Linked DNA regions of Mytilus edulis. Each later gene encodes a partner of the first gene's protein in a complex. Links are inferred from orthologs where the notes say so. Each region holds a gene or a part of one and is shown on either strand. Other genes may lie near its edges.

Evidence for each region.
Region 2: the proteins of mitochondrial import inner membrane translocase subunit Tim10-like (region 1) and mitochondrial import inner membrane translocase subunit Tim9-like are in contact, whole or in part, in a crystal structure (PDB 2BSK), measured with the Homo sapiens proteins. The link is inferred for Mytilus edulis from reciprocal best matches to the Homo sapiens genes TIMM10 and TIMM9. Residues at the interface, in NP_036588.1 of Homo sapiens: Glu16, Met17, Asp20, Met21, Arg24, Ala28, Cys29, Lys32, Cys50, Arg53, Cys54, Ser56, Lys57, Tyr58, Asp60, Ile61, His62, Arg64, Met65, Gly66, Lys68, Leu69, Leu72; in NP_001291414.1 of Homo sapiens: Lys15, Leu18, Gly19, Tyr21, Asn22, Lys23, Thr25, Glu26, Cys28, Phe29, Leu30, Val33, Asp35, Phe36, Thr37, Thr38, Arg39, Glu40, Val41, Glu45, Thr46, Glu50, Leu53, Leu57.

The regions. Positions count from the first base shown.
Region 1 is NC_092349.1:22,052,090-22,062,801, reverse strand, and holds the start of mitochondrial import inner membrane translocase subunit Tim10-like, read right to left. Parts: upstream 4,909-10,712; 5' UTR 4,816-4,908; coding exon 4,733-4,815; intron 3,683-4,732; coding exon 3,475-3,682; 3' UTR 2,948-3,474; intron 91-2,947; 3' UTR 1-90. Other genes in the region: TRAF-type zinc finger domain-containing protein 1-like, read left to right, coding at 5,254-5,300.
Region 2 is NC_092346.1:22,146,380-22,156,634, forward strand, and holds the start of mitochondrial import inner membrane translocase subunit Tim9-like, read right to left. Parts: upstream 3,943-10,255; 5' UTR 3,834-3,942; intron 3,818-3,833; exon of another isoform or gene 3,793-3,817; intron 1-3,792. UniProt on the Homo sapiens protein: Mitochondrial intermembrane chaperone that participates in the import and insertion of multi-pass transmembrane proteins into the mitochondrial inner membrane.

The DNA.
Region 1 (10,712 bases):
AACTAAAAAAAACACAAAAACAGCAAGAAGACTTAAAATTTTGCATTTGAAAAAAAAAAGTATTATTATGCAATGTCCCATTAGGCAACCCTTAAAAAATTGTTTGTTTGGCATTGCCAACCCACACTATCAGCAGGTGGGTAGGTAGGTAGGGATTTTTTTTTTTTTTTTACATTTAAAAGCTTTATACATGTAAATCATGAAGTCTCTAGATCAATGTTGTCTAAAGCATTGCAGCATTGTTGTGTGTAAATGCTGGTGGTTTCTTTGAAAGGGGTCAACCATCAATGTCACATTCTACAACATATGGATAATTTCATGTACATGATGTAAGACAGTCAGTTTTATTGGCAAAGTTAACCAAAGTACCCAGAAAAAAACACAGAACTGAGGCAGGTAAATGACAAATTAACCATATAAAATGTATGACGTGAAAATTGAACATTTATTGTGGAACTGCACATTGAACAGAGGCCTGATGTCACATCTTGAAGTTGTGGTCACAGTTTGGTAAAATTACCATAAGTTAAATGGCTCAACCACTACGGCTCCTTGTACAAATGGACAAAGATTTAAAACTTTGATTGTTTGCTTTGGTTTTATAGTCCAGTCAATCTAGCATAAATTTGACCTTAACCCGAAAGTAATTGCAACAGAAGATTTTTAAGTTTTAATCTTTAGCATTATACCCCAAATATACACAGAAAAAAGTCCCATAAAATCTAACTTGAGGAAGACTAAAAAAAATCACCATTTAAAATTCCTATGGAGATATGCATTGAAAAGGGAGATAACTCTTGCAAAAAAGGCAGAAATATCAATAAAAAATGATACCAAATTATAACTTTACCGCTTCTATTCATCAGAATGTATTGATTTTTTATTTTTTAGCGGTCTTAAGAGTATAACGAACACCTCTAAAGGTGTTTTCATATATTTTATCAAGCTATAATCTAGATTTCGTAATTCATTAGTTGACCATTTATTGAATTTTTCAACATGTCAAGGTAAAGAATCTCAAATTTAATAAAAGTAATTAAGAATGTATTCTTCTTTTTGTGGTTTAAAGTTTCTTTAGATAAGTAAGTTGCTGAAAAAACATAATATACAGATATAAACAATACCAAATTTTCACATTATTTTTTCAAAATGGTTACAAAGCTTCAAATTTGCAATTTCTTCAATGAAAAATGCACGAAAAAAATAAAACTACCCATAACACTTCGGTTTTGTACATTTCATGAACAGAAGATTATATAATTTAGTCAAATACAAACTTATAAACCATCAAAGTATCATACTTTACATCAATTTCAAGAAAAACAACCAAAAACTGACAAAAAAGACTCATTTTTGTAAGAATTATCTCCCCTTCCAATGTTAATTTCCATAGGAAATTAAAAATGCTGATTTTGAGTTTTCCTCAAGTAAGATTTTATGGGACTTTTTTCTGTGTATATAAAGGGCATAATGTTATAGATAAGAACTAAAACATTTTCTGTTGCAATTAGTTTGAGGTTAAATCTGAGTTTGACTGGACTATTATAAACATCACTTTCTACACCATATAGGTAATTTCATGGTAGTCAGTTTTAGTGGCGTACTAAACCGTAGTACTTGAAGGAAAACGCCAACCTGTGGGAGGAAACTGACTAACCTTATCACATCTGACATGAAAATCAAACCTTAATTTTGCAACTGCCCAACTAGGGCTCAAACCAATACCTGGAGGCTAGTAATCATACATGTAAGGTGTGACGAACTACCATACAAACACGCCAACTGCCCCTGATAAGTTTTGAGGATAAAGGATCTGTTCCAAATTAGGATAGCAAAATATTAAAAATTTGGAAGGTTGGCACAAATAGACATGGTGTTTATACTAATATTATCCAAGTGCAAGGTTTTTCAGGGATAGGTTTAAAACGTATGATAAATTCAAAATGGAAATATGCAGCAGGACAGATAATTTTTGCAGATAAATAAATTATGAGTTGTAATGCTTGTTTGATTAACAGAAATCTGGACATGCATTACATGAATACAGATAAATTAATGAGCCCTTAGAATTGTGGAAAAGGAGGGGATTTTATTCATCACTAGTACACTGGATACATTTATAAATATGTTTCTGTCAGTATCTTTTATGTTTTAAGAATCATCTTATTCATGAAGAAAGGCAAGAAAATGGGAAGTACTTCAATTGACACAAGATGCTAGTCTTTAAAATATGTATGTTTTGTTCCAGGCTAGCATCTTCTGGTACAAAACTACTATAAACCTGTAAATTATTTTGGTCTGTAAGCTTTGGTGCTTACAGTCATAATTATCTTGAATGCATCATTGTGGTTCTGACTATAGTAGATACTTTGTTCTCTGGTTCAAGGGAAAATTTGTCAATGATAAATTTCAAATATTTAATAAGTTCAACAAATGTAAGAGCCACGCATATTTGTTCTGTGATGTCCTGGTGAAAAACTTCTATCTCATGAAGCGACAAAGTCGAGCAGAAATCATCTGTTTCTGCTTTACAAAAGATAAAATTGAGTCCTCTACAAGGTCTCTCAGAACGTTTCTTTCAAAGAATAGCTGAAATTTGATTTTTGATAAAATCCATCTCCCTTAACCAATGCATTGCAGCATAGGGAGATGCCTTCCCCTGTCAGCCTCTTTGACATTTAACTTTTGGCAGACTTTTTCTATTCCATGTCATTTAAATGTTTGCTACCAATACAGTGTAAGGCAAACGCTTTTCAGATCATGATTTGAAATAAGTAAAGCCAGGAACAAACTCGGCAGATACGACCAATTTCCGGCAAAATTTCGATTGTTTTTAAATAAAAAAAAATAAATTTCTGAAACGCAAATAAAATTATTTGGGCGGCAAGTTTTTCAGTGGGTTGGGCGGCAATGCCAAACAAATGAAATTTTATTTTAGGCCTTAGACATGCTAAAAATTATTTTTTTTGAGGCTATGAAAATCTAAATCATCGTTAGCATACTGGATTAGTCATGGTCATTTTAGAATGTTTAGACTGAAACATTCAATAAGGCAAGAGTGTGACAATACATGTATCTCATCTAGCACTTATCATGCTTATTTACCACAGTTGGCTTAGGTTTTCATGTTCTAAGAAAACCAAATAAAATTTCAACCAGTAAAATGAAATTTTTACTAGAAAAACTTCCTGAATGTAGTTATAAAATTTAAGAATTAATAGTAACATAATAAATTTAATATTAATTGTCTAGTGTATTTTTTAAATATTGACAACTGATCATGAATGTACAGTCAACTAAACGCCACCTTTGCAATCTATGACAGAACAGCTGATGACAGTGAGTCAATTCATCTTTTTATCAATGGCCTGCTTTTCCTTGTACTGATTACACTTTCTCCTGTTAGTATCTTGTTCATTTCTTCATTGTATAAATACTTTAATTGTAATATCACAACTATTAAAACAGTTTATGTTAAGATTTTTGGGGCTGCATTTGATCCTGGATTTTCTTCACAGTAGCCTCGTCTTGTTGGGACATAGATGTCAATTTCTTTCCTATATTATCGTGCATTTCTAAGTACTTGGATACACATCTGTCTAAACACACTGATTCACCTTTAGATAAATCTGCTTCGTTATACTTGGGTGGTACACATTTTTTCTGACAGGCAGTGGTCATTCTAAAACACAGAAAATATATATTGTACATTTATTAATTTATTATAGATAATAGTGGGGTTACGCAAAGTGAACAAATTAAGAGGGGGATACCTTTTTGTGTTAACCAGTTATGGCCCTTTTCAAGGTGTTTTTAACTGTTATCTGAGATCAATTTAAGCTGTTATTTGTTTGTATCAGCTTTTTTGCTAAATGTTTTTGCCAAAATCGAGGTGTTGTCAACATGTAAACGGACCCCCTATTGCCCCCTCAATTAAGAGTGTTTTTGAATTATATCAAATGATTTATTTTTAAATTAATGCTGGTTTCATCACTTCTGATGACCATCAATTTCTTTATCATGTTTATTACTTTAAAGTAATATGAAAATAGTGACCGGTGGAAAATAATGTTAATCCAACTCTTGAACCAATGCATACATATATCATAAACTTAAGTCTTCTGTGATCGATTTTATCATTTTGTTAGCATAAGTTTCGTCTAATCGTCAAAAAATATTCTATTTGTCAGTGTTGTTGTGAAAATATGGCAGCTTATTATTAGTCGTGATGTGAAGCTGAAGTTTAACAATTGTCACCCGTTTGTAATCAATCAACAAAGAAGCATGGATATTCAGGTAAGCAAGTGTATAACAGGTACTACAAGATATAGTTTATCTTGATGACTATGACGGAGCGATGTTTACGTTTAGTTTTCCTTTTGCACTTGCATATTGAGATTGTCTAGCATATTTTTTTGTAACATTGACAGCTGATCACGAATGTACAGTCAACTAAACGCCACCTTTGCAATCTATGACTAGAACACAAGAACAACATGCCTTGTAAAATAGAGCGGGTAGTTTATTAGACACATGACATGTTAGAAATTTAACTCTGTAAGTCCATAGTAAAATACAAAAACCAACTAAAGACTGAGCAACACCAACACCACCAAAAACTTGGTATTATGTACAGTGCTCTGATACTTGTCTTTGACACTGACAATATAAACATGGCAAAGGTCAAATTTTGGTTACATCTCAGAAATACACTTTCTGTCTATCAATTCACCTGTTATACATATCTGCCATCATTTCTAATTCTAAATCCGAAACCAGCTTTAACTGGGCTTCATTTAAAGAAGGCGTTGCCATTTTAAATGTGAATATTTCAAATTAAAAAAAATGTTGTAATATAGTTAGTGGGTTTCCACGTGCAGGTAGCCGGATAAACCGGAAGTACAATAAATGGCGAGGACTTGCCTCTTACACCAACAAATCAAAACCGTCGTCTTAAAATAATTAGCCAATCACAGTTGTTGTTCTATTGCAGATTAGAGCTGTCAAAATATTTTGTTGACAAGCCAGGCTACAGTTTCTATCCCAAGTGTCTTTGTATCAGGGGAAACACCTTGTAGTTTCTTTATTGTCATCGAAAACAGAATATTGCTCTGTTGTCTAAATTAGTTAAACTAAATGATAATTAGCGATTCATTTTGAATCATTGGTTGATTATTTCTGAATGACAAATTTGTAATGATAAAAACATTCTTGTAACGTGACCAAGCAACTTTCAGTTTCATAAACATCAACATGGCTGAAGATTCACAAGATGTGGAGACAAAGTTTTGCAAAAATTGGTAATTTATTGCTGGATATTTATTTTATAATTTCATTTTGTAAATATTACGTTTTCCTTAAAAGAAATACTATAAATTACTGCTTTCATGTCTATCTGTCCCAAGTCGATCCGGCCCCAATAAAAAAATATTTTTATAAGAAATTATAATGAAGATATATCATCATGCATTATATGAATTGTAAATCACTGATAAATGTTTATGAAATTAATAAGATTATAAAAGGTGTACAGTAAAAAAAAGTTGGCCTTTGAGGAATATTTTCATTAGATGAGTTTAAAACAACTATGTTGATTATGTACAGTTTCATTACAAGTTTTCAACATTATTGAGTAATAAAAACATATATAACAGAGTTTAATACAATCAACGTTCATCAGCATTGATTACCGTTTTTTTCAATTGCAAGTCTTTCATCCTGTGTAATAACAAATAGTTACATAAACAACATTTCAAATTTTGTAAATTATTACTAAATCAGTCTTAACTTAGTCGACACCTAATTTTAGGATTTCTGGTAAAGTGGGTATTTATTATTATTTAAAAGTTTTCAAGAAAATGCCTGTACCAAGTCAGGAATATGACAGTTGTTATCTATTTGTTTGGTGTGTTTAAGCTTTTGTTTTTTTTTAAAAAGTTTTCCCCAAGATCTCCATCTGAAAAACTACTCTATAATTTATCAATTTATGTGTTGATGGGTTTTCTTTATTTTGATGTTCAGCTTAATCTAAAGTCATGAAAGTGTGCACGTGATATAGGAAAAAAAAAAAAGAAAAAAGATACCGGTAAATGTGCCGCAATTTATACCATCAGAAAAAATAGAAAGATACCCTTTCAAAACTGTAATATGCGCAAATTGATTTTGCCCATATAGATTATTCATTATTTTATTATGGGGCCGGATCGACTTGGGACGGATCGACTTTGGGCCGGATTGAATTGGGGCCGGATAGGTTTGGGGCTTGAATGACCGGATACCAAATTACGGAGCCAGGAGGGCTAGTTTGTGGGGAGAGGGTTTATGATCCTGTAACCTGCTTATTGTTTTGTCATATATAATATAATTTCACAGGTCCTGACTGACTCCATGTCCCTTTTACATGCAAAATGATTTTTTAAGGTGTCATGTGTAAAAAAAATAGAAGCCAACCTCGCAATAGCTTACATGAACTCTTCAATCATTTTTTTGTCAATGAGACCAACAATGTAATTGTATAAACTACACCAGTTGACCTTGGATATTTGGGATAAAATATGTATGAGGACAAAATTGTAACAAAGATATTTGATCTCTGACATCAAATTACATTGTAGCCAGGAAAAAAGATGAATTGGCATTATTGGAAAATTATTTATTGTTGACTGACATGGCTTACATTTTTACAGGGTTCACCATGATCCATAAGTGGTGTTGCAGTTTTTACAGTTAACTTTAAGGACCACATCCCATTCTTCAGAAATTTTTGTATAAACATGATAAACGCTATAAACTTAAGCTTTCATAGACAAACCAGTAAGGTTCAAGGCATATCACACAACAGCCAGGGTAGATTTTGCTTTTTCCACAGTCCCACCCTAGCTATAATCTCTTTTTTTGTAAAAATAGTGATTACAAGTGCTTATCTGCTTTTTTCAATTGACTGTACTTGCCAGTCTTTTGATTAAACAAAAGAAATTGCATGCTCACTCCTATGGGTGGGCAGAGTGGACAAGCTAGAAATTTTGCCCACCCGGTACCCACTCCAACTGTGGAGGAGTGGACAAAGCAAAATCCACCTGAGCTGTAGTGTCATATCATGAAGACTGGCGTTGCAGCACACTTGAATTTCCCTCTGCCACCTAAGTTTGTATTCACCTTGTAAATATGCAGTTCTCCATTCTGCAATAATCAATAGATTTATAAATCTAAATTTTATACAGAATACATTATACCTCATGTCAATGGCAATCGATCAGACATAATACTTGCTATGGCATCACCGCTAGTACAAAAAATGTATTTAATAGTGTGAGCACCACCTTAAGAAATTTTAACATTGACAGCTGATTGCACAACATAATCTTGTTGTGCATGATTAATCAGTCCAGATGATTAATAAGCATGTACATGTACCACATACAATTTTTGTACATGACATCCACGAGATATACATGTATAGCTTGGCAATTAAGATAAAAAGGAAATAGAATAGTGTTTATATATGCAATTAAGAATAGATAAAATAACATGATACAGGCCTCTACAATAACTTTTTTTTCAACTTGTCCTGTAGGACAAGTACATACCAAAATTCACTTGTCCGAATGAAATTGTTACTTGTCCTAATTTTTATTATTAAAAATAACCTTTTTACATTTTTAGTTGATTATTAAAAGGAGCAAAACGAATTTAGACAATACATTTATAACAGACTTAGATGTATTTCTTTTTATTTTTCAAAAATATGAGTCAAGTACAACTGCGAAACTAGTTATATCACAGGAATTGGGTTTTAGTTTTCATCAATGCTAGTCTCACCAGACTCTAAACATGAGGCACCATCTGATAGGCCTGTACACTCATTGGATTTGTATTCTGTTTTGTTTTTTAAGTTGAAAAAAGTTTATTCAAATGCAATCAATAAAAAGAAGATAAGCCATCATAGGGTCTGATTGCCAATGAGACAACTCTCTGCAAGAGACCAAATGGCACAGAAATTAACAACTATAGGTCACCATATTGCAAGTATTGTTTTTTATACGACCGCAAAATTTGAAAAATTTTTCGTCGTATATTGCTATCACGTTGGCGTCAGCGTCGTCGTCGTCGTCGTCGTCCTGCGTCCGAATACTTTTAGTTTTCGCACTCTAACTTGAGTAAAAGTGAATGGAAATCTATGAAATTTTAACACAAGGTTTATGACCACAAAAGGAAGGTTGGTATTGATTTTGGGAGTTTTGGTCCCAACATTTTAGGAATTAGGGGCCAAAAAGGGCCCAAATAAGCATTTTCTTGGTTTTCGCACTATAACTTTAGTTTAAGTTAATAGAAATCTATGAAATTTTGACACAAGGTTTATGATCACAAAAGGAAGGTTGGGATTGATTTTGGGAGTTTTGGTTCCAACAGTTTAGGAATTAAGGGCCAAAAAAGGGCCCAAATAAGCATTATTCTTGGTTTTTGCACCATAACTTTAGTATAAGTAAATAGAAATCTATGAAATTTAAACACAAGGTTTATGACCATAAAAGGAAGGTTGGGTTTGATTTGGGGAGTTTTGGTCCTAACAGTTTAGGAATAAGGGGCCCAAAGGGTCTAAAATTGAACTTTGTGTGATTTCATCAAAAATTGAATAATTGGGGTTCTTTGATATGCCGAATCTAACTATGTATGTAGATTCTTAATTTTTGGTCCCGTTTTCAAATTGGTCTACATTAAGGTCCAAAGGGTCCAAAATTAAACTTAGTTTGATTTTAACAAAAATTAAATCCTTGGGGTTCTTTGATATGCTGAATTTAAAAATGTACTTAGATTTTTAATTATTGGCCTAGTTTTCAAGTTAGTCCAAATTGGGGTCCAAAATTAAACTTTGTTTGTTTTCATTAAAAATTGAATAATTGGGGTTTTTGATATGCCAAATCTAACTGTGTATGTAGATTCTTAATTTTTGGTCCAGTTTTCAAATTGGTCTACATTAAGGTCCAAAGGGTCCAAAATTAAACTAAGTTTGATTTTAACAAAAATTAAATTCTTGGGCTTATTAATATGCTTTATCTAAATATGTACTTTGATTTTTGATTATGGGCCCAGTTTTCAAGTTGGTCCAAATCAGGATTCCATATCAAGTATTGTGCAATAGCAAGAAATTTTCAATTGCACAGTATTGCACAATAGCAAGAAATATCTAATTGCACAATATTGTGCAATAGCAATTAATTTTCAATTAGAGTTATCTTTCTTTGTATAGAATAGTAGTTGATAATATATGTTGGAAATTTGCCAGACATGACTATGATGTCATTTTCTATTTTTATTTGCCAATAACTTTATGTAAATAACTTCATTGGAAATTTGCCAATATAAAATGTTGCTGATGAAGCTTTTTTTCCTTATCTTATCTAAAATGTTTTTAGATAATGTATGTTGGACATTTGCCAGACATGACTATGATGTCATTTTCTATTTTTATTTGCCAATAACTTTATGTAAATAACTTCATTGGAAATTTGCCAATATAAAATGTTGCTGATGAAGTTATTTTTATTGTTTTATACAATAAACAATGTATATTCACTTTTACTACCAACCAATCTTTACCATTCAGTGATAACAAATACTTTATTTTACATTTTAATATTTTATGATGTATTTAAAAGAGTAGTTATTGTTGCAAACTCCATTAGAAATTTGAATTGATATCAGTTTTGGAAAAAGGGAAGCGGGGATGTGAAAAAAAGGGGGGGGGGGGTTTAAATTTTTCTCATTTCAGATTTCATAAATAAAAAGAAAATTTCTTCAAACATTTTTTTGAGAGGATTAATATTCAACAGCATAGTGAATTGCTCAAAGGCAAAAAAAAAACTTTTAAGTTCATTAGACCACATTCATTCTGTGTCAGAAACCTATGCTGTGTCAACTATTTAATTTTAGATTTAAAAAGTTTGAAGAAGAAATCTTTAATTGATTTGTAAAATCTTGACATTTGTTTTGTGTAAAAAAAAACCATGTAATGTCAAAAATTTGATCACAATCCAAATTCAGAGCTGTATCACGCTTGAATGTTTTGTCCATACTTGCCCCAACTGTTCAGGGTTCGACCTCTGCGGTCGTATAAAGCTGCGCCCTGCGGAGCACCTGGTTTCTACTTCTGATCAAATATGATTTTGTGAATTTTATGGTAAATAAAATAAAAAAAATTGTGAAAAAATTACGGTATGGTATTTATTATAAGGAACAGAATAAGGTCGCAAAATGAGGCACTGATTTGTCTTGGTCCCGAAATGTCTCCTGCCTTGTCAAACTGTCTATCAATCATGTCTACTTATATGTCTCCTACGGTGCTAAACTGTCTATTAAACTTGGAGCTGAATCTTTCGAGGTGACGAACTGTCCTGTAAAGTTACCTTATCTACAAAGCGCATCATGATTCCGATCAGTAAGACTGGTTTTCGAGAATAGTATTCCTTTTACCTGTTAAAAAGTACCTGACAAAGAACTAGTTAAAAATTATCGATTGCAAGTAAACATGTTGTAGGAAAAGGTTTTGCATTTGAATAAACAGAATACAGAAACATGTCAAATTAATATTTGTTTTCTTGTTTTTTGTTTATAATAAATTACTTTGTTCATCAAAGTTGGATTAAATTTATTTTCTGCTAAATAACTGTACTTGTCCCGACGGACAAGCTTGATACAGCTTTTACTTGTCCGAT
Region 2 (10,255 bases), on another chromosome or scaffold:
ATAATTGTTCCAAATATAAAGAATTTTTTTTTGAGCAATAACCCCCAAAGTCAATACTAACCATTCCTTCAGGGTATGGAAACTTTTATGGTATATATTTTTGGTATAATTTCAGAGAGATTCATACACTTTAACACAAGTTATTGTTGGCCCCTAATTCCTTAACTATTGGGACTATAACCCGCAAAATCAATCCCCACCTTCCTTTAGTAGTATTGATCCTTCTGGTAAAAATTTATAGAGATTCATCCACTAAAACAAAAGTTATTGTCCAGAAACTAAATGCGTCTTCAGACGACGACGACGACGCAGACGCCCAACATGATACCATTATACGACGCAAAAAATTGTTTGCGGTCGTATAAAAACCTAAGTTTTTCTTTTCTAAAACAGTTAAATAACCCCTCATCTGAAGGACATTTCCTCATCTCAGACTTTCATAAGGGAGGGTTTCCCAACCTGATCATAAGAAGATCTGTTTACCCACAGTCGTTTTAATTTTAGTGATATATGTATGAAAAAAAATATTAAAAAAAATACATTGAACAGAATTTTTTTATTGAATTTTTTCATACATATATCACTCAAATTCAAGAGACTGTGGTCAGGAACATATATATTAACTAGATATACTGTTCCCAGCTGTGGTTTATCATATTGGCACTGGCTATGGTTACATGGAAATGTAACAATAATAAAAATATTGTTACATCGGAGATTAATTGCCAGAATGAAAGGTTGGGTAAGGAACTGATTAATTACGAATGTAACAAAAATTATTGAGGCTACGGTTACATTGGGTTATTGTTACATTAATTCACGTCAATGTACGCTGGGACTAGAAATATAAACTCGATGAAAACTTTATTTGAATTTTACAAAATTGCATACAATTTAAAAAAAATTATTTGTAATATTAGTTTCTACAAATCCAATATGTTGTTTTTGGGAGCATGTCTTAGTCCAACGAATCTTGGTGAAACCTAGCAGTCATCGCAAACGAGTGATGCAGCAATATGAACGTCAGTATTTCATACTCTAAATTCCATGTTACTATCCTGTTTTGCAGTTAAAGACACTTTCAATGTCTGTCATGCTTCAGCTGATAAATATATTTTTTTACTCTTGCGATCAAGGATTTGTATATAAATATCCTTGGTGCGATATTTAAACTTTAACATGTGCATACCTGTCAACCTGTGACAATGAAAATGCAGGTCATGACCTGCATTGAAGAATCAAATCTCAGGTCATAATGCGTACAAACTTTTTCAAGCTGAATTTCAGTATTTATGGTACTTTTTTCTTGTAATTTAAATCAAAGTTACTTGGTTAAGTAATTTTAAATCTTATTAATTATTATTTCATTGCACTTTTAAAGATTTTTTATAAATTTGTTTAACACAGTCTTGTGTTCTTTATTTTACCCTCAAACATCAGGATATAGTTTAAGAGTAATTTTAAAGTGTTTCAGACCAGCTATTCAGCCTTCAAACACATCATCCTAATCATTCATTACAATCCATCTTGTTCATTGAAATTATACGATAGTAAAATATAGTAATACAGTTAAAGGAAGTATAGATGTACAAAATAATTTTCAACTTTTTTTTCAAAATTGTATAACATGTATAAAGGTATAAAAATAATGAAAAGTTATATTTCAATATGTATTTGAATTTTATTTTTTCTAAGATTTAATCTTTTCCCAAAAAAAAACGGAAATATAAGGAATAATTTTGAATGGTGACAAATAAGGGGAAGTAACTCTAGTAGAAATATGTTTGTAAAAACAACAGTGCAATTTATTTACGACCTTAAGCTAAGGTAATTGGTGTTAATTAACAGTGTGTTTGACACCAAAGCTGTTAAGTGAAGCCATGCACTTAATGGGTCACTTCATTTGACAGTTTACACAGCTAGATGAACTTTCTGTTCATGGAACAATTACGAATTTGCCGGTATTTCAAAGGAATATTACTTATGAAATCAATCTCAAGGCTAAGAAATACGGGTGAAAACTAGTCATTTTCGGAATTCCCGGGTTATTCAATGACCCGACGGGTGTCCCGGGTGATCCCTCAGAATTGTGAAAATCTCGGGTAACACCCGCAGAATACGGGTTAGTTGACAGGTATGCATGTGAGGTTGTAAAATGATTTCATTACCGTTCATTATTGAGGGTGGTAAAGGGGGTGCTTGCACGAAAAAAACGTGAAATAAGACATAATTTCACGTTGAACGTGAAATAATTTCTGTAATGAACGTTGCATGAAAAATAAATACTTTTATTTGAACCTTGTGTGACTGAGTCACTGTCTTCTTGTATATATTAACTCTTTGTTTTACTTGATATTCCCGAATTATAATACACATTTATGATATAATTGGTTTATGGCTTTTAAAAAAGTATTTCTTGACGATCCCTGCCAAGTCTTAGAATTTTATTTGAAAAATATCGAGCACGCAAAATAAGACTTTGAAAATCATGATGCATGTAAAATTAAATAAGCAGAAAACGTTGAACGAGGCACCCGTCTTGCACAACTGAACGTCAAATAAACAAGTAAAAACATGTTGAACGTGAAATAAAAAACGGTGATCACGTTCCACCAAAAAAACAACCTTTACCACCCTCAATTTCCATATCCAGCTAAGTACTAGTCAATTGCGAAGGCAATTGATTTTTAACATTTGCTGACATGACATTGAAAGTGGTTGAATCAGTGTTTTCATTTTCAGAGTCCAGATAATTTGTGATAGTAATTTCATTCTAATTGGATTCTTACTATACAAATCCTTGATTGTACAGACATTACAGATTACAGATTGATGAAAAAATAAGGTATACAAGTTTAGAAGGTTGAAGTTTAATAAATCTAGCATACATTAAGGTTCATGTGGACCCTATGGCTAAAATGGCCGTATTTTCACCTCAAAATTTACTCGGAGTACAGACAAACCTGCGCATCTGTAAAAAAATTCAGGCATAGCATGCCCTAGATAAATGAATTTTAAATATGTTTTATGTTTTAGAAAAGTAAAAACTTACCAGGATTTTGCCGTGCACTTTTTTTCATTTCTCCAGAAGGTGCCAAAATAAACTAAGTTGGGAAACAGGTTTGAGAACTTCCCCACAGGTAAAAATTAAAGTGAGCATTTTTAATTGACATGGACATTAGATGGACAATAGATACCCGACAATAATTGGTTATTTAAACTGTGTACCTGAGTGAACCATATCAAGGTAAACTCAACTGTTTGTTAATTTTATCGTCTTCTGCAGAGACGAAAAAAAGTGTATGGCAAAATCCAGTTAAGTTATGAATTTTCTAAATCATACAATGCATTTGAATTCTATTTATCTAGGGCATGCCATGCCTTAAAACTTTTCCAGATGCACAGGTTTGCCTGTACTCAGAGAAAATTTTGAGGTGAAAATACGGCCATTTTAGCCATAGGGTCCACATGAACCTTAAGTGCATCAATGTACAAATGTAACAATATCGCAAAGTAACCTTAGCCTCAATTTTTATTGTTACATTCGTAATTAATCGGATCCTTACCCAACCCTGTACTGCGGCAATTATTCTCCAATGTAACAATAATATTTTTATTATAATTGTTACATTTCCATGCCAGTACCTATCAATAAAATATCATATTTTATGATCTTTTATATAACAATGTTTATTGAACAGCCTGGAAACAGTATATTCCTGGTCTAAACAACAAAATACTTTTAACTAAATTGAATATGTAACTGTTCGTAAAACAAAAGGTATGATTTACAATGTGTCTCAGTGACAATTTTTGTCTGATTTTTAACCTACATGAGTTATAACAGAGAATATAAGTGAGGGAGGGAAACCAATGGTAATGTCATGAGGTATTTATGAACGTAGATCGCTCCGTTTACGGAGCACCAATAACTGCGAGTAATCCATGACAAATCGCCCCACTGGCAAATCTCCCCACATCTAATCGCCCCATTTTTTCACAAACTCGCCCCACTTTCTAAAAAACCGCCCCACTCTTGTTTACCAACTCGCCCCACTTATGAAAAGGGTAAACTCCCATTGCAAATAGTTATAATAATATGCTCCCCTTATGAAAAGGGTTAAAATCCCGCTGAAATACGGCTCCACTCATGACAAATAGATAAACCACTTATAAAAAAGATGCAATCCCGTTGTATATCTTTGTCCCTGCCCACGTCAATACCTTTAAAAACCAAAGTGAAGTGCTATAAAATCAAATTGCTGTTAAGAACTCTGTTTTTGCAATAAAGTTGTATATAAATGTTTCACGCATCAATAGTATGATTATGATACAATTAACAGGTTTCTTTTCAATTGTTATACAAATAACTAAGCTTACAAGCATAAAGTTATTCTCCAATAATGATACAAAAATGTATTTGCAATTATATTTTAAGAATGTAAATTTTTTTTAATAAATTTCGTTTTTTTTTTGTATTCTGTCTGAGACTACTATAACACATAGTGTACTCTCAGTACTGGTCATATAATTCACGTGATCTATATTCATGATATTGCTTTTCGGCCCGGTCAATTATTTCCGTTACGGACTGACAAGGATTTGTATAGTAAGTCTAAGTAACTTTACAAATCCTTGGGACTGGCAATGAATACTGAATTACATGTAAACATTAATTGTGCATGTAATTCAGGATTCATTGCCAATCCGTATTGGAAATATTGGCCCTAGTATTCACATCATTGCCAGTCCGTATTGGAAATGAGGCAAATGCCTCATGTCGGAAATTTAAAATAAAAAAGTGGAAACAAAAGCTTGTCTACTCTTTTTTCACAGCGAATGTCTTGCAAGTAGCACTTTCTCTTCACTCTCTGATGTCGCCCCTGCATGTTTTTCTTGACTGACCCATGTTTCTAATTTACTTTTATTTTCAAAGCTTATGGTCTATTGTTTTTAGTTATGTGTCTTTTCTGTACCCGGGTTTGTCTTTTGTCCATTTATTGTCCTACTTTATGATTATAGTAATAAGTGTTGATTTTCATTTGTAAATCTAGTACATTTAGTTTGTTTTTAACTTGAGGTCAAGATCGTCCCTGCATGTATAGTGTCGACTAAAGCGGTACGTATAGTATGATATATTAATACTGCATTGTCACTATATCTAAATTCAGTCATAAAACAAAATCAACAAAGTCAAAACACAATACAAGACAAGAATAGACAGATCCGGTATTCAATGATTTTAAGAATTACGATTGTTGCTTTATCCTACATATCGGTCTAACTTTTGATGTTGCCCCATAAACCTAAAAGTCTTGAATTCCATTGAATCTATATAGTTTGCTTTGAGACCAGAGTATTGTCGAAAAAATAGCTAAAAACTAATTGCGTCAGAGAAGAGTCCGGAAAACGCTCAGAATGCACGATTTTGCGTCATTTTTTTTCAGAGCTTCGGCGGGCCTTTCAATCGGCCCCAGACCCCTCGCCGAAGATTTTTCGCCTCACTTTTAAAAGGGTCTAGTTACGGCCCTGTCAGAGCTGTATCAATCTTAAATGTTGTGGCCATACTTGCCCCAACTGTTCAGGGTTCAACTTCTGCGGTCGTATAAAGCTGCGACCTGCAGAGCACCTGGTTAAATTTATATATGACCTGCATATAATTGATTTAAAATTTTGAATATATTAGGAATATACTCTATATGGAATATGGAGGTACTCATACTAACAAAAGGCTTATACATTGAAGAAGAAACCGAGCGCCATATAAACACCATGTATATGAACCCTATAGTCTATTTTCGACCATTGCGGCCATGTTTCTTGGTGGATAAAACATGTTGATACAATTCATAAACTAGATTCCTAAGAAACATTCATTTAAAGTAAAGAAGTATTAGGAACAATATATTGTTTCAGATGAGAACATTTTTAAATGCTAGCGGCAAATTTGATAAGCAAATTGTGTCATGAAAATAGTCTTTATTTACAAAAAAAATAAACATTTATTTTTCATTACAAATTTTATTTATTACCTTTAGTATAGTTGTTACTTTATCATGTTGTACAAAAATCAAAAATACCAAAAAAAATTCGTGTGGGCCCCAGATGACTTATAAAGTGTAGCTTTCATTTTTGAAAAAGCTCCAAATGATCTTCCTTTGGTGCAAAAATGCCTTTTTTGCAATTAAAATTGAAATATCTTTTTTTAACTCATTGGTGACCTATATTTTTTCATTATAATTTTCAAACAAGCTGTACTTAAACTAATAAACTCATCATAGATACCAGAATTAAAAATTTATATTACGGATTACAAATGTGTCGAGGTTTCTGATTGGATAACAATACAGAGATGTCAGTATATATTCAGAAAACTGCCGGGGTATATACGACGTTTTTTTCCCCAATTGGAACCTCAAAAACGTCATCATAAAACCGGTTACTATGTGACGTAGTCATAAGCTATCAGACTGTCAGAGGTTCACAGAGGGAAAATAATGACGTGCTTCAGTCAATAATACATTTTTGATACAAAATCACGCAATTAACACTTCTAATACTTTAATTTGATGTTAAAAGTGTTATTATAAATTATTACATACACGATAAAATTATGTTCACAGAAAATTAGAAAATCCTTCACGTATGCCGAACATATCAGGTTGGGTTTTTCAATATATATGTTTTGTCAACAAATACCTGCACTGGACAATAACATTAAGTCAGGCGTAATCCGTAATATATGTGTAATTCAGGTCTGAATAACATATAATATTTACGCCATACGCGGGTTTCGTCTACAAAAGTCTCATCAGTGACACTCGAATTAAAAAATGTTTAAAAGGCCAAATAGAGGACGAAGTTGAAGAGCATTGAGGACTGTAATATATTTGCTATGTAATAATACAATCCAGTTTCTATAACTAATTTATTAACAAGTACATCGTTTGATGGTCAGACTACAGAATGACAACATGTGTATAAGAACTTCAATTGATCTATTTAATTGCATGTTTATTTAAGAACGGGCAGACATGTGAGAGTTGCTGATCTGTCAATTATAATTACTGTAACAGATGATACGGTAATAAAGTGAGGTGAACTTTATAACACTTCTCCGGCCTTAGATAAAAACAAATTAAAAACAAATTAACTCAATTACAGAAAATTAATGTCTTTTCACGGCTACTGATTGATAAGTCCATATCAGTTTGAAAACAAATAAAAATGTCAGATCACAAAGATTCATTCGTTAAAGTTTGTCTGCACTGAAACTATAATGTCCTACTATGAAAATAAAAATTAAAATGTTCGCACTGGTCTTGTTGTTATTTCTTACACTAATTGATATGTACACACATACACTGCGAAGTACTTAATGCACTTCAAACGGTTGTGAGGATTATTATGCCTCTTTATAAATCAACCATTTATTTCAACACAAAATCCTTTAAATGCGATGGTTCTTTTCTTATTCTCTTCGGATAGCGTGGTTCCATTTGTTCAGTCAAGTTTGACGATTTATCGATTTGCGGTTGTTCGGTCTCAGGAGTACTTATCGGTATAGTTATTTCTGGCTCAAACAAATCACTGTCATTGTCACATTTTCCTTCATTTTCGTTGTTTGTGCAATCGAAGTTTCGTACTCTGATGTGGTCAATATGTCTACGAATGACACGTCCATCTTGCAATTTAATATGAAATGAAAGTGGTCCTGATTGTTTTATAACTTCTCCTGGAATCCATTTAATCTTTGAACCAATTGCGAAATTTCGGGCAAATACTCCCTGTCCTACATTAATTTGTCTGTTCACAGATTTCTTATCGTGATAATGTTTCTGTTTTTGTTGTCTTTCCTGAACTCGCTTCTCAATATTTGGAAAAACTTAATCTAGACGCGACTTGAGTTTCCTTTTCATAAGCAATTCTGATGGTGCCAATCCTGTCGTTGTTTGTGGCGTTATACGGTAGTTAAAAAGAAAACGGTTCAACTTTTCCTGGACAGTTCCTTCTTTGATTTTCTTCATACCTTCTTTGAAACTCTGAACTGCTCGTTCAGCACAACCATTACTAGCTGGATGCCACGGCGCGGAAGTACGATGTTCAATTCCATTTGATTTCACATAATCGGCGAATTCCTTGCTAGTAAATGCGGCTCCATTATCACTAATAATGAGATCACATAATCCATGTGTTGCAAACGTTTGTTCAAGTTTTGCAATCGTAGCTTCGGATGTTGTAGAATTCATTACGTGTATGTCTATCCATTTTGAATACGCATCAACCATAATTAGAAATGATTTGTTCATGAATGGTCCTGCAAAGTCTATGTGTATTCTTGACCACGGATGGCTCGGATATTCCCACGGATGTAACGGTGCTTCTGCTGGTAACTTGCGGTTTTCCTGACAACTATAACAATTAACTACAGTTAATTCCAAGTCATTGTCCATTCCCGGCCACCATATGTAGCTTCTTGCTAGACTTTTCATTCTAGTAATCCCTGGATGTCCTTGGTGTAATTCATTTAACATGGCTTCACGTCCTGGTTGTGGTATAATTACTCTTCCTCCCCACAATATGCATCCGTCCTGACTACTGAGTTCATTTTTCCTACTATGATACGGTCTTATTTCTTCATTTGGACATTTTGACGGCCATCCATTCAAAATGTATCTAAGCACCATAGATAGTATTGTGTCCTTGCGTGTCCACTTTTGAATTTGTTTAGCATCAACTGGCGTAGTGGCTAAATGTTCTATTAATAATATAGTATCACCTGGCGTTGGTGTCTTTTCAATGTTTGTTTTCAGCGGTAGTCTACTTAGTCCATCCGCATTACCATTCAAACTCCCTTCTTTGTATACAATCGTGTACTCATATGCAGCTAACGTCAGTGCCCACCTTTGAATTCGAGATGCGGCCATTGTAGGTATAGGTTTATCTTCTCGAAATAAACCTATGAGCGGCTTGTGATCGGTTATGATTGTAACGGGGTGTCCATACAAATATTGATGAAATTTCTTGATACCAAATATTATGGCCAGACTCTCCTTCTCAAGAACGGAATAATTCTTCTCTGCTGATGTAAGTGTTCGAGATGTATAAGCTATTGGTTTGTCGCTGCCGTCGTCCATTTTATGCGAAAGTACGGCGCCTAATCCATATGGTGATGCATCACATGCTAAGATTAATTTCTTTTTCGGATCGAAATGTACAAGTACTGATGCGGATTTCAACAGCTGTTTTGACTCTATGAACGCTTTTTCCTGTTCTTTTCCCCAACTCCATTTTGTGTCTTTCTGTAGAAGTACATGTAGCGGCTTTAACAAGTGAGATAAATTCGCTAAGAATCTATTGTAATAGTTCAGCATTCCAAGATAAGCTTTCAGTTCTGTCACGTTTGTCGGACTTGGTGCTTTATCGATCGCCTCAACTTTACTTTCCACTGGATATATTCCGTGTTTGTTTATTTTAAATCCCAAATAAACAACTTCTTCGGCCATGAACACACACTTCTGTTTCTTTAACCGAATTCCGATTCTCTTAAATCTAGACAATACCTCAGAAAGAGTATTAAGATGTTCCTCCCTTGTTTTACCCGTTATTAGTATATCATCTACTCGAACCAAAACATTGGCTATACCTTGAACAACATTTTCAAGTGTTCTCTGAAAAATACCTGGGCTGGACGCTACACCATACGGAAGTCTATTGTATCTGAATAAACCCTTATGCGTGTTTATAGTCACATACCTCTTACTGTCCTCATCAAGTTCAATCTGTTGATATGCTTGGTTTAAATCCAATTTTGTATATTCTTGTCCTCCTCCAAGCGTTGCGTATAAATCCTCAGTTTTAGGAATCGGATAATTATCTAACTTTGAAACGGCATTAACGGTTACCTTGTAGTCACCACAAATTCTAATAGATCCGTTCTCCTTAACTACAGGTACTATCGGAGCGGCCCAGTCGGAAAATTCCACTTGCTGAATCTGACCCTCCTTCTCAAGACGTTCAAGTTCCATCTCCACTTTATCCTTTAACGCATACGGCAAAGGGCGAGCCTTGAAGTATTTCGGTACGGCACTCTCATCAACATAAATCTTGGCTTTCATGCCTTTTACAGTTCCAAGTTCATCTTTGAAAACCTCCTTATTTGCTTCCAAGATCACATTCAAATCACTTGATTGATTATCACTTCCAACGACGGAGAAAATATCCTTCCAATCCAGTTGGAGTTTGTTCAACCAGT